Linked DNA regions of Tribolium castaneum. The protein of the gene in region 1 binds, or shares a complex with, the protein of each later gene. Links are inferred from orthologs where the notes say so. Each region holds a gene or a part of one and is shown in the gene's direction. Other genes may lie near its edges. The genes, in order: Nup107, Nup75, Nup54, PCID2 and Mgtor.

Region 1 (4,120 bases):
TCTTTCTTCCTAGAGATGGATGTGAGAAATGGACACGGACTCGTGTTTTTAGTGCCTTTTATTTGGCAACATCTGTGATCTCTAGCTGATAAGATACAAGTGTTCGATTGTTGAATTATGCAAAGACTACTTAACTATTTTTATACCTTATTACATTGTTATTATTGAATAAGATTGTACAACTTGATACGCGTACGTGTTGAAATATTTATTTTCTTTTGTAAGCTTAGACTAGTGCTAACAACGAGTATTTATTACAACATTTTAGTACAATAATATTTAATTAATAATAAGCGTAGTGTTTGTTCAAAGAGTTTAAGCTACCAACGAAAATATAATATAAATAAAAAAAATTTTGTGGATTTTTGCCTCCTTTAAATGCCTACAACCGAAGTTATTGACAAAAAAAAACGCTCCAAGTACTGAAAAGTCGCCCAATATTTCCAGAATCTTAAGTCAATGAATTTCCGAAAATACAAATACATACCACTAATGTGCAGTAATCTAATTTTTGTTGAAAAGCGTACAATTTACCTCACTTTGTGCTTAAAATGTACTTTTCCTAACCACAAATGAATTGACAAATATTTGGAAAGTGATGTTTTTTACAAGTTTTCAAGAAAACTTGCTTTTTCACCAATTTCCAAAAATAATGCCCACAATAATGTGCAATAATCTAATATTTTGTTGAAAAACATGCAAGTTACCTTACTTTGTGCTTGAAACTTCCAAATTAACACTGAACTTCTAAACTAACACTTAACACTTCATTCTTCCAAATCCTGATTGTCACAGTAACTGAATTTAGGAATATCCGGGGAAAAACTGGTGTTTTTTTTCCACAATTTATAAAAAAAACGTAATTAAGGTAACTTTTTCACAAATTTTTCATAAATGTAGACAAAAAAGATCCGGGCACACACGAGAGACGCGATAATGGAAAAAGTGTTGCCAACCAAATTCACTGAATTTCCGAAAATAGTACCAATAATGTGCTATAATGTTAAATTTTGTTAAAAAAACATGCACCTTACCTTACTTTGTCACTGGAATCACCAAATTATGTAAAAATTACACTTAACACTAAGTAACATCATTTTTCCAAATTCAGTATTCACACATGATTTACAAATTTTTGAAAAAAACCGGTGTTTCCTACCACAATTTATAAATTGAACTTAATTAAGTTACGTAATTCAACACTTTTTTCACCAATTTTCCTTCAATTTGAACAAAAAACACGATAAACACAAACAGACGCGATAATTTGAAACAAATGACGATCGAGGAAAAGAAAAACTGTTACCAACCTGAATCTAGGGACTTTGCAACGCTCTGAGGCAACGCTAGACTTGTTTTTTGAGGTTATGCAACGGCTTTTTGTGTGTGTTTTTTATTAAAAATGGATAATGATTTGGAACGGTCGGTGCGTCTTCTCGAAGACGCTCTCCAGACCCCCACAAAAGGGCTATTTAAGGTCTCGACCGCAACTCCAAAGCGTGAAAAACCTAACCTCAGCTTTACAATAAACCCCGAAGACTTAACCGGCCTGGAATATGGAAGTGTTTATCAAAACACCTTGTCTTTATTTGTCGATGATGACAAAACGGTCACCGGGTCGGTGATCCAAGCAGGAACTCCATGGAAAAACACTGTTAATAATTTATATACAGAGTTTGCGGATATCCTGCAGGGGTCCACCGGAGGCCTTGATATCCTGGACGTGGCCGAAGACTTGGCGAGGTGTTGTAGTGACGCTTTGGCGGTGGTTAAGTCACTGAAAGCCAAAGTGGCCACTAGTGAATTAGCCGAAGAGAAATGGCTCGAAAATGAGCGGAATAATTGGAGACTGCTGTATGTCCTGTACCAGGATCGGATCCAGGCCCAGAACCACAGTAAGGAAGGGTTTGAGGAGGATTTCGGGAGCAGTGAAAAGAACTGTGTGTGCGAACTGTTCAAACGAGAGAATTTGGTTAGGGAAAGCCAGTTGGTGATCGATTGGCTCGAGAGGAACGCTCTGGAGAAGGGGGACCCCATTTTAATGCACTCAGACTGGACGTATGGATGGGAACACACTTTGCATCAATTGCTAGCACCTGATGCTATTGCAATTGGGAGTAATGTGGATATTATCAAGAACATACATCCAGATGCGCCACAGTTTCAGCGCTTATCGCTGCACCACTTGGATTACGACAATGACAAAAAACTATGTCAGAGAATTTTTATGGAAATTAGGTGCGGCAACCTTGAGGGCGCCCAGGAAGTTTGTGCTGTTTTCAGCCTTTTATTATTTATTCAATAATTAAATTTCAGTTATGTTACAACAGTGGTTATCCATGGCGCGCTGCGATGTTAGAAGGCTGGAAGCTTTTTCATAATCCCAACCTGGAAACAAGTCTTGAAGAGTATAAAGACGTAGAAGGGAACCAAAGGCGGGATTTGTGGAAATCTTGCGCATTAGATTATTGTCATAGGGTAAGTTTTTCGTTCCACAGCCTCTTTGACAGTTCGGGAACTTCGCTATCTTTTTTTTTGATACCATTGTTACTAGATAAACCGATGTCACTTTGGCAGTTGTAAAACATGTATTTATTTTATGTTTATTTATTTAAAATTTCTGGAAAATAATTAACCAAATTTAGGACTGAAGACGAAGTTTCGTATCTATCAAGGAGGCTGTTTTATAAATTTGAAAAAACTACTAAAAAATTTCAGTCAAACTTGAACATTTATGAAAAAGCCGCCATTGGTAGTCTTTGTGGTTTCTTGGAGGGCATTTTGCCCGTTTGTACCACATGGGAGGACCACCTGTGGGCCTACATGCGAACCATGGTCGATATTCGTGTTGAATCGGAAATTCGCGACTCAATCATTAAAAACTACATACCACTACCTGAAGAATATTGGGAACAAAAGAAATCATTAAGTGAAATTTTTACAATTTTGGAAGCCTCGAAAAATATTGACATTGCAAAAGAAGCGCATGAAATTGATCATGTAATTCAGAAACTTGTCATTTTAGACGAAATTCCCACACTGATACGCCTCCTAGATCAGTGGAGTGAAGATCTAAGTGTTACGACACAATCTCTTCGATTTTATGCTCACTTAGTTTTGTTTTTTGAAAGCGTCGGAGACTCCACTCATAGAAAAACGTGTGAAAAAATCGTCGAAACGTAAGTTTTCTTGGTTGTATAACTCGACTTAAGGCCGGGCGCTTTAGTCTCCCGGTATGGTGACTATAAAAAAATTTGTGTCTAGTGTATTTTATGTTCTTAATGTTGACCATAATCTCGTCAGAACTAAATTATTGCTTTTAATATTTTTACCACTTTTTTATAGCTACGGTATTATTTTTTGTTTTATTTGACTTCGAGCTTCTATAAAAAAACATAAAGTGTTTGCTACTCACCGCTGCGTTGCTTGTGTTTTAATATCATTTGTTTAATTAGATATATCGAGCGTTTGAGCGAAATGAACGAAACCCAGCTTGTGGCCTTCTACGTGAGCAAGCTGGGAAAATCCAAACAAATCCAACTTTACGCCAAACACTGCGAAAAACTGCTTTCGACTGAGCAACGCAAAAACGCCCTTACTTACGCTGAAGATTTCAGTTTGGACGTATTTGCTATAACGCAACAAATCGTCGAAATTATAACAAGCCGACCGTCTGAATCCGAACTTCCCGGTAATCTCCAAGGTAAAATCACCGAAATCGACGAACTCAAAATCTCCGCTATTGATTGGCTGATGTTTTACGAGGAGCAACGAGCCGAAGCATTGGCTCAAACCAATTCTATTATTTTCAAATTTCTGATTTTGGGCAAATTAGAAGCAGCCCAATTGGCAATCAATAAAATTCCTTACGATTCTATAGAGAAGATACGCAGCGAAGAGCAGATTCATCAGATTGTTAAGAATTATTTGAGTTATAAAGCGTATTTGGATGCACATGAGGCGTTTAACGAGTGGTTTAGACAGTATAGGAATAAGCCGATGCCACCACCTGAACTGCCCGAAAATGCACAATTTACTGAAAAAGTTGCTCATAATCATAAAGTCTCGCAGTTTAATGCCGAAGCGGAACGGTGGAAATTGACGACATCGCATTCAGCAA
Region 2 (4,382 bases), on another chromosome or scaffold:
TGAAGGAGCAAAAGGCCAAATTAAAAATCAATGTTGTTGATATATTTAAATCGTAGTATTTTTTTGTTAAAATCTAGTCTTAATAAATGTTTTTTGTGACACTTTGTTTTATTTTACGTCAAATTAAAATGGGTAAAAAATTGAGTCGTCCACGAGGTAGCGAACAAAGCACTTATTCCCATATTTTTTATACCGGGAGTATCGAAACTATTCCACCATCAATCACCTATCCTTCGATATGTACTTCCCCCTCGTTTCATTTGTCTGAAAAGCCTTCGGTGTCGAAGTGTGACAGTGAATTGATTCATTACGGCGAACTGCAGAGTATGTACATCAAGTCTCAGACTTTCACAGCTGATCATTTGGCCCCCTTGACCATCAGAACCTCACAGTTAGTGCTGTCGCTTCTGAAGAGGCATTTGGGGCAAATTGTTAGCGACATCCACGCAGGGTACTGTTTTATTTAATTTAATTTTTTTGCCTATTCAAAAAATTCATAACTCAAAAACTAAAATTCGTAGAACAAAACGGTTTATTCCAGTGAATTCAGCGACTCATTTTACGTATCATATGTTTTTTTTACAACACTAGCTTACTCCAGAACGTATTTAAACACTTATTTGAATTTGAAAAATGGTGGATGCGCCGGGTTATTTTCTATTTTTTGGCAGGACATTGAAAATGCCTGATAAAGTGGTAGAAAAGTTTGGGGCTGCAAGTGCCCGGAACCCGAATCAGCAAACAGACACATATACTATCCAAAGACGAATGATCACTCATTTCGTCTCGTTACTTCACGTTCATGAAATGGTTTTAACTTATCTCAAACAGAGACGCATCGAACAAGCGCTCGATTTAATCAAACAAATTGCAGTTAGCCACGCACTTAAGGGAATCACAGTGACTGAATTTCGGGTAAGTCCCGATAATTCTCTAACTTGTTTTGGCAAAATACGACTTGCAGTTAGTGGACTGGTTTATTGTCAATTATTTGATAAAAAATAAAGTAAGCACTGACGAGAACATAAACCACTTGATGCTTTACTTAAGCACCCTTTCAAATTACATTGTGCGATATTTCGAAAGTCAAAGTGTTCGCCATACGATGCTCCGGGACATGACTAGTGTGAAAGTAAACGATCGGAGCAACAAAGCAAGGGAAAACTACCGTTTAATGAAACAGTGGACCTCCAGAATTGAACATTCCAGAGGCCAAATTAAGGATCTAATTGACAAGCTCCTCGCAGATCAAGCCCGCATGCAGGAAGCCAGAGAGGCAGAAATTAGGAGCATTGACACTCAAACGCTCAAAGAAAAAGACTTCATTATGCGATTTTTCGTACGCAAGAAACCGACAGAATCGCGCTCAACGTCACACTCGCACCAGGAGAAGGCCTCAACGTGAGTATCACCCCAATATAACAAATTCAAAATACCCGCCCACAGGATTGACGGCGAAGTTAAATCCCTACCGTTACCGTTCTCGCTACCAACCCAAAACGAAAGTAACCCTAGTAACCGAACAGATTTCTAAATTACCGACCCGGCTAACCGCTCTCCTCAAACAAAATTCGAAAAAAATACGGTTTTTTTGAATGAAAAGGCGCAAAATTTCGTGTTATTTAACGCTTCCCGACCCGTATTAATGGACAATACCGCCAAAACTTTCGTAAGCAGCGATCAATTTTTGAGGTTAGGTCATAATAACTTGTAGGTTATTCCAAATGAGTTATGCCGACGTGCTGGAGTGGCGGCTTCGTGGCTTTCCGTCAACGAATTCGGTGTTTTCGGCCACCAGAAAACACCAAAAGTTGATAAACCGAGTCACTTTGCCCCCTCGGACGCCTCTGTGTTTCAGCTGCGCCCCGACATTATTCTCTTCAAACCAATTTTACGCAAATTGGTAAATGAGGCCAACGGGACGTTTCTAACCCTTCAAGCCCTTGTAGCCACTGAGGGCGACCACAAGGCCGAATTATTGAAACTTAGCCGGCAGTACAGGTCCATAATAAGGGCCTGTTTGGAGAATTTGCAAGACGAGGTGATGCGAGCCGATGGCGATTATCGCGAAGAATTGCAAAATTACATTACGATTTTTTACTCAGTTGAGTGTATTTGGCACTTGTGTGAAATCTTATTTGTTGATGCGGTCCCAGGTGGGTTAGTGACACGGATATCTAAAAGCTAGGATGCGAAACGACGTACAAATAAAACGTCCTGAACTCGGTAGTTTTATCGTTAACTATATTTAAAAAAAATTCCGGACTTTTTTAGGTTCAGAAAATCCGGTAATTTCGTACATCGTTTCCTCCTAAGTTATAGACCTCTGTAGTGACACAAAATTTGGGGATTTTTGCCAAACAGTTGGGGTTTTAGGCAACATTGTTTTGCCCCACTTACTGGACTGGATTCGGTTTCATTTTCCGAAATATGACCGAAATGCGGCAAGTATGTTGGCTGGGGATTTGGGTGGTTTGGAGTCACACCCTGACTATTGGGAAACTGTCATTGGGTCACTATTACAAGGGCGGGTCAAGGTCGTTAGGGCCCTACTTAAATTACACTCAGAAGCTGAGTCACAACCTTTCAGAATTGTGGATCAGTGTCTGAGAGCAATGCCGGTTTATAACGTAAGTAGGCTGGGAGAAATTGACAGGTGTTCATGGCCGACTTTAGATGTTTAGTGGGACTTCAATCGCTGAATTTAATCTACAATGGAATCATTGGGTCGTGGATGTTCAATCGAAAATTGATGCGAAAATGTTTATTTCTTGTTATAATCTCAATTTGATTATGAAGGTTTTGTTTTAAGTGTGTTTGAGTTGGTAGTTTTCTTTATAAGATTTTTTGTAGCTTACGGTTGGTAACGAAATTGCATGGGGGGAAATACAGCAGTATTGCGAGACGTGGTATGAAATGTTAGCCGCGTGGTTATTTTTTACCCAACCTACTGTTAAATCGTTTGAGTTGGGACAGTTTGCCAAACAGTGTATCACGAAAATGTCCATAGGGAATAGAATTAAGCATTTGGATAGGATGTTGTTGGCAGCAATGGAGTTTGATATTTTACAGGTAATATGGCGCCACCTCTGTTAAGTTATTAAATAAAACTGAGACTTTTGAATAATCCTGTATTTTTCGGCTATACTTTTAGTTTTACACTTTTTTGCAAATGTACACATAAATTCTAACATTTCTTTGCCAGGTGATTAAAGAAATCCAAAATATGACAGACAGTGGCTGGTTTGTGAGCCACTTAACCGACCTACTTTACCATTCAGGCCGTCTAAGCGACACAACTATCGAAACTATTGAAAATTTGTGAGTCCCCGATTTTTTTTAAACCGTTTATTTTACAATTATTATTTCAGCCACCCTGATAAATTGCGCGAGTCATTTTTAATCGATTATGGCTCGCTTTTAATGGGCCATAAGTCACTATGGCAGGTCGGTTTAAGCTACTTGGACCACTGTCCCAGCGATGGCCCTGAAGTCACAAAATTACTACTTGCAAGACTGCCTCTAAATTCCGAAATGCGGGCTGAGAAAATTGTGAGAGAGGCTCTGAACCGGAATTTAACCGAAACGGCACAAAGTATTTGTAAAGTGCAAGGAATGGCTTGTAAAAACCGGGGGCGTCTGGGACACGCCCTCGCCTGGGCCCTCAAATCACAAGACGGCACTTTTGTGTCGTTTTTATCGAACAAATTTCTGCGAGAGTATGCCGAAAGTGGCGATTTGAACAGTATTGATCTTTTGGATAATCTCGGATCGTGTATTTTGGCAAGCGATAGGTTGATGTTTTTAGGCAAATATTACGAATTCCAGAAGTTATATCAAGCGAACGAGTACAAAGAAGCCGCCAATTTGCTCGTTTCGTTACTTGAGTCGAAAATAATACCAAACTTGTAAGGGGAAAACACTTAAAATTGCGGTTTTTTATCTAAAGATTATCTTGTAGTTTCTGGAGTATTCTATTAACTGACGCAATACCGCTACTTGAGTGCGAAAAAATGGTTTTTTCCTCAACTGATACCTACATCATTATGCAGTGTTTGGAAGAGCAGGAAAAAACCAAAGACTTGAAAGACAAACTTCCGATCTTGAGACTGTCAGCGACCCGGAATTTAGCACGAGCTTTGGTACACGAAGCCCAATTAAAATGATGATTTTTTTAACAATTTTTTATTAAATAAATACTTTACGTAAACAATAATACTTTTAATTGGCCACTTTAAGTGCACTCGCCAAGTCCTCAAATTCCTCAATTTTCGTATCAGTGATTGTGTCAGGGTCACTGTAAGTCACTCTGGCCGCAAAAAATTTCTCTTTTAACATAAGGGGGTACCATTGGGGCGAATCAGGCCACATTTTCGCATAGG
Region 3 (4,231 bases), on another chromosome or scaffold:
TTGAATCTAGGTTGAATATAAAATTGGTTGCTGTTTTCTTCAATAAATAATTACAGATTCCTGTTTGAAGTTGCCAGCTGATGGCATTAAACTCAGGGCCAACCTGTCTCAAATTCCCGCTGAGTACTTTAGGAAATTATCTTTTATTAGCAACACCTTTATTATCACATTGAGTTAAATTAATGATACAGTTACAACCAACAAATGAATCACGTAATTCCATAATAAATGAGTGACAGATTCTACATAGAGAGAAATTGACATATTGAGAGGCTCTGAAGCTCACACTTAAAATAACCTTGAAGACCTGTACAAATCATTAACTCCGTTCCGGACACGACGTCTGTGGCATCCTGCCTTTGGCCCCCACGCCGTCCGCCCCCAGGGCCGTGTGCACCACGATGCTGGGCTGGCCGGGGGAGGGGGGGTGCACCTCGTGCGACGCCCCCGGCGTGAGGGTGGCCAAAGCTGCAAGAAGGTCATGATTGATAATGGGCTCACCTTCCGGCCGGGGCTCCCAGTCGAGGGGGGGCGACGCCGGCGGCGAGATTAGGAACTGCTTGAAGGGGGCTGGCGGCTGCAGGCTGGGGTTTTTGACGGGGGTGACGGGTTGAGCAAAGTAACACGTAATCACTGAGTCGTTGATTTTGTATTGGTGGAGCTGAATGCGGGCGCTGGCGGCTGCCACGGGCGTCTGGAAGTTCACTCTCAGTCTTCGGAAACTGCGCAGCCACTGGAATGTCACGTCCGGGTCGAAGTTCCGGAACAGGTTCTCCATTTCGCGCTTTTTCTCTGCAATTTTACGGTCAGATCGGGTGAGGGCTGGGGGCGGATTACCGGGCGAGGTGAAGACACTGTCGTGGATGTTGGTGACGATGAGGGACGTCGGCAGGTCCTCGAACTCGTCGTCGGTCACATGCTCGGGGCTGTCGATGTCGGCCTCCGCCAGCAGGTTGGGGTGCACGTTGGGAAGGCCGTCTTGGTCGTTAATGATGATATCGTCGTCCATTTCGCCGTTGCTTTCAGCCATTGAAAAATTGGATTAAATTCACCGACACAGGATCTACCGCGGTTTAAACCCCATAAAACAATGCGCACTTTTTCGGCTAAACTAATCAAGGCTAACTCTTACGCTACTAAATTTTAACACAAAAACATTGCAATATCAAAGTGCAAAAAACACAACCCAACAATTGCAAATGCCAAATGTCAGGAATGAATGACACTTGACAAGGGGATGAAAGCCGAAAGTTCGCCAGCCCGAATTGAAATACAAAGGAATGAGCTTAAAAAAACGTAAAACCCTGAAATGGATAGATTTCCAGATAATTAACATAAACACATGAGCGACTTTTTGATTTCGTATTTTTTTGTACAGAAAACGCTGAAATTTTGTGAAATTGCCGGTGTATAACCTAGGTTTGAAGTTTGACAGTTCTGTCAATTCGTTAAGTTCAATTTGTGAATACATAAAAAATTGTAATTACTATTTTTATATAAATACTAACGTTAAATTTAATGCAGTTATGGCATTTTCGTTCGGAAATGCAAACCAGTCGACTTTTGGAAGCCCGGCAAATAAACGTAAGTTTTAGAACCGTAAGAAAGTTAGGTTAAGTTCTTTCTATTTTGTTATTTGGTATTCACGGTTTTATTTATTTTCCCTTTAAACCGTAATTAATGAGATTTAATTTTGCCCAAAACGCCTGACTAATGTTTGTGTTCTTAATTTTTAACCAGAAAAAATCGAAAAAGTGGCAGCGTTTTGTACCATTCAGACTCAACAATACAAATCACCACACTTTTTACAGATAAAATGTTAATTGGTGTTTTAAATGGTTATAAAATTTAATTGTGATGATTGTTAACGTGTGAGTAACAATTCAACAATTTTTGTTTGAAACAAATCGCTAAAAAATGTTTTGTTTAGTGTTTAACTTAAATTTTTTGTCACGTCTGTGCTGCACAGTACACAAAAGTAATTTCATTACTTAACTGATAAAACATGAAAAACTGGACGTGTTCAATAAAAAACCTAGATTATAATTTATAAACCAAGAATTTATTTCGGCAATAACATTTTGAGGATATAAATAAACCTACCTAAGCGAGTAACAAAAATATAATGATAGTAAAATATAACAGATTATCACAAATATAATTAATACGATTTCATTCTTCCGTTTGAGATGGTAACTTGGCTCAAATCGGTTGCACAATCAAGCGATCCTGAACGGCTGGCTTTATATCGCTTATAAACGACGATAAGAATGACGATAATTAAGAGCAGACTGACGATTATAACTCCCAAAACAACGTACAAAGTTTTTCCCTCAACGTCGTATCCTTCGTAATATATTTGGTTCGAAACATCCGTAGTTGAAGAAAATACGTCAAGTGGGGTTGAAGTTGTATTTTGTGTACTGTTTTTTATTTCGGCCACTGCTGAAGTGATGTTGTTTTCAAAAATACCGATTGTTTCGGTCGTACTGTCGGTCACTTCGGTTATCACGGTGGTAATCGTTGTTGTAATATTTTGAGAAATCTCAGGAGTGGTAGCAGTTTCTGCAGTAACCGTACTGTTGGTTATTTCGCTGATGAGGGTAGTAGCTGGGGGAGTGAAACTCTGCCCAATTTTGAGTACGTTTTGATCGTCTGTGACTTGAAGGGTCGTTCCAAAACTTTTAGTAGCCCCTTTGATAGGAAATGAGAATAGCTAGAATCGGAATTTTTAAATCCAACTTGAAAAATAAAAATTAAACTCACCGTAGGGCCCGACATTGTGCTTTTTATTAGCGAAGGAAAAACACTTAACTCTGCAAGAACTTATCGGCGACTGAAAGTTTCTTTCCACGCTTTGAATTTTTATCGCTGGTGTTTATATGTGCGAACACGGTTTTCCTGCTTTCCTTCCATTCGCAGTAAAATAACAACCCGGGGATGAGTCACAAAATGCTGTTTAATGCAATTTCTTGTGGTTGGGATAAATAAAATCCGTCATTTTGTGATAACAAATTGGGAAAGCGGCACTGCAGTCGAAAAAAACTTGTTTTGAAATTATCTACGTGTTTAAATTCTTTTTAAAAAATTTGACTGGAATGACACTTGAAGGATTGAAATAATTTCATTTATTTCGTGTTTATTTCGTTTTTGCATAAATTTAAGTCTTAACAACAGCGTATTTTTTGCACGATAAGTATTCGCATAGTTCAAGTTTGACTTGCATTTTTTACCGAGGAGTAGTTTCCGTTTGGTCATTTCCCCGTAACAAATACTTTTTTCATGGAAATTCTTTTCTTTTCGTTGAAACAACCCAAATAGAAAAATAAATAATTTCAGGATTGTGGTTTCGTAGCCATTTCCTTTGGAAAACTACAAATTTCGCTGAATTTATTCAATTTATTCGATTTTTCCTGAATTAAAACGCACACTTCTTATCGTCTTAGATTATTTATTAATTTTTGTAAACACCTAGTCATAGTTTTATGTTTTTCCAATGTTTATCCACAGCCACCGCATTCGGTACCCCATTTGGGGTAACCACCACCACGGCTAGTACCGGCTTCGGCAGTTTCGGCTCTTCCTTCGGAGCCACTTCGCAGCCGTCGACCGGTTTCGGCTCAACTTTCGGAGCCCCAGCTCAATCTTCAGGTTTCGGTAGTACTTTCGGTACTCCTGCAACTTCCACTCCAGCATTTGGTTCGACTTTCGGAGCCCCAGCATCAACCTCAGCCCCGACATTCGGTACCGGCTTCGGTCAATCGACCGGCGGCGGCCTTTTCGGTACTTCCACAACCAAACCAACCCTTTTCGGAACTCCCACCACTTCAACCTCGTTATTTTCGACCCCTAGTTCGGCCCCCAGTTTATTCGGGAGCGGTACCACCACACAAGCCCCAAGTCTTTTCGGGGGGGTCACCACCTCGACTCCTAGTTTATTCGGAGCTGGCAGTACCCCAGCTCCGAGTTTGTTCGGTACTGCGACAACTTCGGCCCCGAGTTTATTCGGGACTTCGTTCGGGGGCACGGCCACCACTTCGGGGGGGCTGTTTGGGGGGAGTACAACAGGGGGAGGGTTTGGTTTATTCGGGGGTACTACTACGACGAGTGCGCCGTCGTTGTTTGGGGGGTTTGGGGCTACGCAAACAACAGGGGGGTTTGGGGGTTTTGGGACTAGTGGAGGGTTCGGTCAACAGACACAAGGGAGTTTGTTTGGGGGCGGGTTTGGGGC
Region 4 (3,586 bases), on another chromosome or scaffold:
TTTGTTTAAATTTCTATCGTGTTGGACTGCTCCAGACTGCATGTCTAGTGCAAATTCTTATCAGACTTCAACAAATTGATTTTTATTGTGCTCTGAATCATCTAAAGAAGGCTCGATTTTTCATAGTTTATAAACGGAACGAAATCAACTAGTCCAAACCAACTTAATGCAATACGAGTTGATTAAGTGCACTACTATTGAACATTAAATGGAAAAATATTTACATAAAATATTTACAGAATTTAGATATGGATGTGAGCCCTCTGTTCGCCTAAAAATATTTTCAAGTTTCTAGCTTTACTCAGAAGAAAAATATGAGGAAATGAAGATGTGAACACAAATTTGCTTTATATTAATTTTTGAATTTTTTTACATAAACGTCTTTTTTACAGTGAAGGCTATTCCAAATCAAAAAAAAAACTTTCGGATTTAAATTCAGCTAAAAAAATTACATCAGAATCATATTTCAGTAAACGTGTCAATTCTGTTAAATAGTTCTTTATTTTTGATTCTTTTTTAAGTTGTTAATAATTACGTTGCATTTCTCAAACTATCATAATCATTAATCACACAGACATTCAAGATATAGAATATTGCTTTTTTATATTGTTTTATTTTAAAATTATAAAATGTAGATATAGAAAAAATAACTTTTTATGGTACATAATAAGGCATACTAAAAGTATTTAAAGCAAATTTGGAATTCTGTGTAATTATTTAGCTTGTCATGCAGTAAAAATATACTTTTGCTGGGACACCCTGTAAAATTTGTTTTTAAATTTTATAGATGAACATAAAAACCTTTTATATGCTTTTGTACGGTCATCATTTAAAACATAACTTGTTTGTAATTTAAACGTCGTCTACCTACTTATACTTATAAGTTTTTTTTTGTAAAATATGGTTTTGTTTTTTAAGTAGCACTATACAAACAAATACTTTTAAGTTCGTAATGTGTAGCTTTAGTTTCTAATAAACAGTACTTAATTTTTTTGTTTCATAAGGAGCTAAAAGTAAACTACAATTAACGTTTAAATTGCTTATTATACTGATTTATGGGTCTGGCACGTGAAGCATTATTAAAGTTTAAAATAGCAAAGAAGTAAATAATTTCTTTCCATAAATTCCATTACTAGGCGCTTTAAATTCATTATTGTTGAAGTTATTACTTTCCTGTGTAATGGATTTTTAAATTATGATTTATCCTTGACTAGAATAATAAAACGTTTTCACGACTGTGTTTATAATTTCCTAAAAATTTTTTAATAAAATCAAGTTGGATAAGTTCCCGGTCAAGTTGCATCAAGCTGTTCCTCGGAGCGCCATCTCTGTGTGGGAAGAAAACATGCGGCTTGCGAACTGGTCTACGAACAGTTTTCGTTTTTATGGCATTTTACTTCCAGGATTTGCATTAATTTAATCCCTATTATTAGTACTATGGGACATATAACACGAATTAAGCTCAAATATCTTAAATTTTGTTAGGTCACAGAAATTATTATTGATTTTACTTGTATGAATCGCACCGCTCCCTATCGGCCATTTTATCACCATTGCAAAGACTTGTTTATTTTCAAGCTTATTCAAACATTTTTTCGTCAAACTCGTAAGACATAATGTTCTTTGCGTAACGGAAGCAACAAATATAACACTTGTGCCTAAATCACGTGAGTAACAGTTCAATTTCATTTATAAATGAAGCGGTTTCGGTTAACTGACGCCCCTAACCTTAGTTTTTCAGCAAAATGACTTTTATGTCCGTTGCTCATTACCTACAACTTGTGGAAAGGTATTGGCGGTCTCAGGACGGTGCAAAAGTGGCCAGTTTTCTGTCTCTTCGCCACGAACATGCAGGTTATGCCAATTACCACATTGAGAGTCCTGAGGGAATAGTTGAGCGTTTTTTGACCGCCCCTATCGACGAATTAGTGATTTTGCACCTAAAATGCCTGTTTGCCATAAGCCAGAGTGACTATCTATCGGCTTATAACATTCAGAGCAATTTGACGCAAACTTTCACTAAGATCTTGCAATCGCAAAAGGAGGAGAATTGGTCTTTGCCTATTATGTATGTCTTGTGCTTAGACTTGCGTCTTTTGGCGCAATTAGCCGAGAATCAGAGGAGCGGAATTAATGAGAAGCCCGGCGAAATGCTCGAGAAGGCAGCAGAATGCTTGATGGGTTGTTTCAGGGTGTGTGCTGCTGATAATAGGTCAGCAGAGGAGGATACAAAGAGGATAGGGATGTTGGCTTTGGTGAATCAATTGTTTAAGGTTTATTTTCGGATAAATAAGCTACATTTGTGCAAGCCCTTAATCAGAGCGATTGAGTCATCACCGTTTAAAGAGAGTTTTTCTCTGAGCCAACAAATCACATATCGGTATTTTGTGGGGCGCAAGGCTATGTTTGATAGCGATTATAAAGTCGCCGATGAGTATTTAACTTATGCTTTTGAAAATTGTCACAAGCTCAGTAAGAAGAACAAAACGCTTATATTGATTTACTTAGTTCCTGTGAAAATGTTGTTGGGGTATATCCCAAGCAAGGAGGTTCTGGAGAAGTATGACGTCATCCAGTTGTGGGATTTAGTACAAGCTGTATGTCAGGGTAATCTCAAAGCGTTTGACGAGATTATGGAAAAGCACGAAACCTTTTTCATCAAGTGTGGAATATATCTGATTGTTGATAAACTGAAAATCATAGCATATAGAAATTTGTTTAAAAAGGTGTATTTGATTCTAAATACGCATCAAATCCCTATTGAAGCACTGCAGACTGCTTTAGTGTATTTAGGACAGACTGATGTTGATTTGGATGAAACAGAATGTATTGTTGCTAATCTTATTTATGAAGGGAAAATTAAAGGATACATTTCGCATCAACATAGGAAGGTTGTTGTTAGTAAACAGAATCCATTTCCGCCACTTACAAGTCTATCATAATTAAGTTTTTATAAGTTTGTATAATTCGTCGTTCTCTACCTGCATTGTAACTATTTTGTAATTGCATATGAAATAAACTGTTAAAACTACCCGTTTTTTGTGTTTTATTAAAGCATAAACGTAACGTCTATAAATCTCTATACTGCGAAGTGACTAAGCGACCCTGCTGTCATAAGAAAAAAGCTAAATGTTGTATGCATAATAAAAACCGCATTAAAAATGTTTATGGAATTTTTATTTTATTAAAAATTGCTTTTGTTATTCGAAGAGGTCACAACTACAGTTGTTTTTTTTTAAATTGCTCAGATTTAATCTCGATACGAATCGTTTTGAAAATCAATAATGCATATTAAATCACCTAATGATTATGCCCATATAGGTAAAAAATATTCGTTTAAGCTTTACATAATAGATACGAAGTTAATACCGAATACATCCTTTAAATGTACTGTAAATATTATATTACATATTGCGAAATTTTGCACAAAAGGATTTATTTTCCCATAGGTAACTTTGTTACCCGAAAATTAAACTCATACATTTTATATGGAAATTTTATCATAGTCAAAAACTATTTAGTTTTTTATTATAAATTATTTCCAAACAAAATGTCACTATTATATAGTTGTTAATCCATTCTATGA
Region 5 (3,582 bases), on another chromosome or scaffold:
TTTTGGTTAGTTTCTCTTGAACTATCTCGTTTATGTGCGAAATTTGATCAAATTAAGCCGAAAAACTACAACAAAATAATAATCTGTTGTCGAGTTTCAATTTTAAATTCACCAAATTAAGTCGAAAGATACAGTATTTTTGCTTTTTTTGATTGGTTAACATACTAAGTTTTTCTCTCGAGGAATTTCACTAAAGCATGCTGAAAAAGCGCCAAAATTGATCGAATTTAATATTAATTTTTTTGTCAGTCACATTAGACGTTTTTGAATATGAAACTTATTTATTTTGAAATGATTTTATTTATTTTTGAGTGAGATTTCGTCAAAAATAATCTGAAAAATTACAAAATTTGGTTGAAAAAGGAATTTTCCCTTCTTGTTGCAAGATTTTAAATATGTTTCTGAGTTGAACCTGAAAAATCATGTAAATTATCTCAAATAATTTCAGTTTTTTTTAAACAGTTATTACATATTTAACAAAATTAAAGAAAAGAAATACGATGTTTTTAATTTTTTTTTTTGTGAAACAGAAAAATTTTACTTTACAGACACTTATAAAGTGTAAAAGTTTGTTGCTAAAAGAAGTCCTATTTGGTCAGAAAAAAAAAACAAAGGAAGAAAGAAAGCACTAAGAATGTTTTAAAAAATATGACTGACGTAAAGAGTTACTTTAGCTGTGATAACGTCACAGTTTAAATTTGTTTGCACGCTGTACAGTTTTTGGTTTACAACTGATGTAGCGAAAGATTTTAAAAACTATTAGATTTAACGGTGAATTAAAAACAGCAGATTGAAATTGATTTTGTCATCTTTACTGCCCCTCCATGTAGATATATGGAGCTATTTTACAGAGAACTATGTTCACTGTTCGAATTATCAAATACAGATTCGAAGATGTTATGTATTATTTATTATTTATTAGTTGTTTCATCGAAACTAATAAATCGACTCTAACTGCATTCCCTAGCATTTCTGTTTTTTGTTTTTTTTAATGTTTTACGTAAGAACAGACCAGAAAAGGCGACTTAAAATTAATCTTTTTTTTGAAAAATTGTATGTGAGTATTTGAATTTTTGCAGTTCTCTTGTTGAAATTAGTTTAAATTATGTCCTATTTACATGTTGGTAATTGTTTAGTTGCAGTCTGCGCCCCAACAACAAGCTGTTGCTTTAGTCCTGCCAAGGGTAGAACCCCCAAGTAGTGGACCTACCCAAGAACAAGGAACCAGCAGCAGTAGCAGTTCAAACACAGTCACAACAACCCAAGCCGGCCTAAAACGCCAAAGAGATCCAGACACTGATACTGGTGACGAACAAACAAAAACCCAACAACAAAGTAAAAGAACTAGAGTTCAACAAGCTGGAACTGTAAGCGATAGCGGTCTAGAGGTAGAATATCAAGTTCCAACAAGCAGTCAGCGAGATCATGACGACGATAACGTGATAGTTGTTGAAAGTGACGAAGAAGGTGGTGCTGATGAAGGTGAAGGTGCAGACGATGAGCCGGACGATCCTGATACGGAAGGCTATGATTTGGAAGTAATGGTATGTGATGAGGCGGGTGAAGAGAGCAGTGATTTTACCTTGTCCTTAAACTTTAAGGAACAAGATAACTACGAAGACGCCGATTGTCAAGACGTTGAAGATGAAGAAGGCGGGAATGAAGTGGAGGTTATTGAAGATTCGAGCGAGGTGCCGAATCAGAGCGAAAGATCATTGCAGGAGGAAGCGTCTCAAGAGGAAAGCGTTGAACCAGCGCAGCCCGAAGCTACAAGTAGTGGCACTGACGGTACGTTTAAAAAAATTAAATATTTTGGGCCTAACTGCACCGGTTCTGCTTAATGTTAATAAACATTAACATGCCAAATTTATTTATTTGGTGACCGATAAAATACTCTTCATCCCAGTAAAACATTTTTTTAAGTTTACAAATTTTGTGAAAAATTCATTTTACGTAACTTTTTTTTAAAAATGTTAATAAACACAAGATTAAAGTAACTATAATAAAGTCAAATTGGCCAGATCGGATTTTAAGATTTGTGAAAATCAAATACCCAGCGACACCAAGAAATAAAACTCCAGAAGAAGTTGGATGTTCTAAAAAAATTAAGTAATAATAATAATAATATCTAAATATGGACAAAATATAATCCTAATTTTTCAACGAAACTTCTAGGGTCAAAATATCTACAAAGCAGTTATTTTAAAATATTGGTTAGGTGAACAAATTAAAAAAATCTCCGAACTAAAAAAATGTTTTTCTCGCTTAAATGTTTTTACCACTTGTTTTCTAAAATAACCGAAAAAAAAGACAGATGGCGATCAAAAGACTCTCCCCAGAAACGACACGAGCAACGCAATGAACTTTGGGAGATTTTAAGTTAAAAACAACAGTGTTTTGTTAAATTAGTTGAAAATTAATATTTTGTAATAAATATCAAAAACCCAAAACGAATTTTTAAGTTTACTGATAAATAATGCGACTTCTACATCAATTACAGTACTTCAATAACAAATTAAAAAATTTTCAACGCATATAAATATGCTTTTGAATTATCTTGCAAAAACCTAGACTGCTTACTTTAAAAAAAAACTGAGTAAAGTTCCTTTCAAGATCAAAATTTACGCATTTTTTTAAAGCAATTACCAAAATTCTAAAACGGAATTGTTAAATTTACTGATAAAAACGCGACTTTTTCTTCAATATCTCTGATAAAGCAAATTTCTTTCAACGCATATCAACTATGCTTTTGAATTATCCTGCAAAAACCAAAACCGATTACTTTAAAAATAACTGAATAGTTTTTTAAGGTCAACATTTATGCATTTTTCTTTTTTTAAGATGTTTACGTTTTTTCAAAATATGGGAACGCATGGGCTTGTAGTATTAAAAAACCTTTAATTTCTTGTATAATGCTTGAAATTCTGTTGGGTATTAAGAGAGTAAATTTGCTTTAAATATGCTAACTTTGAGTCAGGTTTATTAAAAGAAATTTTTTGCTACAAAAAGAAAAAAACACCAACTTATGATTTCAACCTTAGGATTGATATCCGTAATTTCAATAAAAAAAAATCTTTTTTATCCTGAGCAACCATCTACATGACACATCACACATTATAGTGGTAACGTTGAAAATTGGATAAACTACAATCCAATAAATTTAAAACAGTCCCTTGAAAGAATTCAAATTTATGAAAAAGTTTTTGAAATTATATATACAGTTAAAAGAGTTACGTTGAGTTGAAAAATCAGCTCAGTGGACGTGTGTTTAGTTAACTACTGCTTTTATGTTCAACAATATCATTTAATAAATCAGCCACTCCAGAAATAATGCAACCTGATACCGACATTTTTAAAATAATTTTAGTAATGTAAACTTTCTTTCAAAATACACGATTCAGTTTATATTTAATGTATTTTCCGACATTGGATTTTGGATTTAAAGTAGGAGAGGCTAATCATTTAAATTGAAGTAATTCTTTGGGTTCTAAAATTTACACACATTGCCTTTTAGGCAATAACATAGATTACTATTGATAACTGACGTACTAGAACTATTAAAACAGTTTTGAAGTGTTTTAT

What was found.
Region 2: Nup107 (region 1) and Nup75 share a complex: the UniProt entries of both Drosophila melanogaster proteins name them as parts of the nuclear pore complex. The link is inferred for Tribolium castaneum from reciprocal best matches to the Drosophila melanogaster genes Nup107 and Nup75.
Region 3: Nup107 (region 1) and Nup54 share a complex: the UniProt entries of both Drosophila melanogaster proteins name them as parts of the nuclear pore complex. The link is inferred for Tribolium castaneum from reciprocal best matches to the Drosophila melanogaster genes Nup107 and Nup54.
Region 4: Nup107 (region 1) and PCID2 share a complex: the UniProt entries of both Drosophila melanogaster proteins name them as parts of the nuclear pore complex. The link is inferred for Tribolium castaneum from reciprocal best matches to the Drosophila melanogaster genes Nup107 and PCID2.
Region 5: Nup107 (region 1) and Mgtor share a complex: the UniProt entries of both Drosophila melanogaster proteins name them as parts of the nuclear pore complex. The link is inferred for Tribolium castaneum from reciprocal best matches to the Drosophila melanogaster genes Nup107 and Mgtor.

Annotation. Positions count from the first base shown.
Region 1 is NC_087395.1:26,509,990-26,514,109, forward strand, and holds the start of Nup107 (nuclear pore complex protein Nup107), read left to right. Parts: upstream 1-1,312; 5' UTR 1,313-1,402; coding exon 1,403-2,266; intron 2,267-2,316; coding exon 2,317-2,478; intron 2,479-2,718; coding exon 2,719-3,179; intron 3,180-3,455; coding exon 3,456-4,120. UniProt on the Drosophila melanogaster protein: Plays a role in nuclear pore complex (NPC) assembly and maintenance. Required for nuclear import of Mad. Mediates the association between the nuclear pore complex and a subset of active chromatin regions adjacent to lamin-associated domains.
Region 2 is NC_087399.1:876,544-880,925, forward strand, and holds Nup75 (nuclear pore complex protein Nup85), read left to right. Parts: upstream 1-1,536; 5' UTR 1,537-1,645; coding exon 1,646-1,669; exon of another isoform or gene 1,670-1,714; coding exon 1,715-2,156; exon of another isoform or gene 2,157-2,376; coding exon 2,377-2,630; exon of another isoform or gene 2,631-2,676; coding exon 2,677-2,799; exon of another isoform or gene 2,800-2,853; coding exon 2,854-3,072; exon of another isoform or gene 3,073-3,205; coding exon 3,206-3,321; exon of another isoform or gene 3,322-3,371; coding exon 3,372-3,908; exon of another isoform or gene 3,909-3,961; coding exon 3,962-4,166; 3' UTR 4,167-4,216; downstream 4,217-4,382. Other genes in the region: mRpS23 (small ribosomal subunit protein mS23), read left to right, coding at 1-56; uncharacterized protein LOC660898, read left to right, coding at 87-451, 672-915, 965-1,401, 1,447-1,534; oxidized purine nucleoside triphosphate hydrolase, read right to left, coding at 4,222-4,382. UniProt on the Drosophila melanogaster protein: Component of the nuclear pore complex (NPC) that seems to be required for NPC assembly and maintenance. Required for nuclear import of phosphorylated Mad via importin msk.
Region 3 is NC_087397.1:2,066,920-2,071,150, reverse strand, and holds the start of Nup54 (probable nucleoporin Nup54), read left to right. Parts: upstream 1-1,426; 5' UTR 1,427-1,526; coding exon 1,527-1,584; intron 1,585-2,040; exon of another isoform or gene 2,041-2,716; intron 2,717-2,766; exon of another isoform or gene 2,767-3,510; coding exon 3,511-4,231. Other genes in the region: sra (protein sarah), read right to left, coding at 320-792, 838-1,030. UniProt on the Drosophila melanogaster protein: Component of the nuclear pore complex (NPC), a complex required for the trafficking across the nuclear envelope. Essential for the nuclear import of nuclear localization signal (NLS)-containing proteins in an importin alpha/importin beta-dependent manner.
Region 4 is NC_087397.1:8,459,933-8,463,518, reverse strand, and holds PCID2 (PCI domain-containing protein 2), read left to right. Parts: upstream 1-1,512; 5' UTR 1,513-1,667; intron 1,668-1,733; 5' UTR 1,734-1,745; coding exon 1,746-2,942; 3' UTR 2,943-3,031; downstream 3,032-3,586. UniProt on the Drosophila melanogaster protein: Required for the export of nuclear mRNAs and involved in mRNA trafficking in the cytoplasm.
Region 5 is NC_087394.1:8,232,461-8,236,042, forward strand, and holds part of Mgtor (nucleoprotein TPR), read left to right. Parts: intron 1-1,136; coding exon 1,137-1,544; intron 1,545-1,601; coding exon 1,602-1,788; intron 1,789-3,582. UniProt on the Drosophila melanogaster protein: Component of the nuclear pore complex (NPC), a complex required for the trafficking across the nuclear envelope. Functions as a scaffolding element in the nuclear phase of the NPC.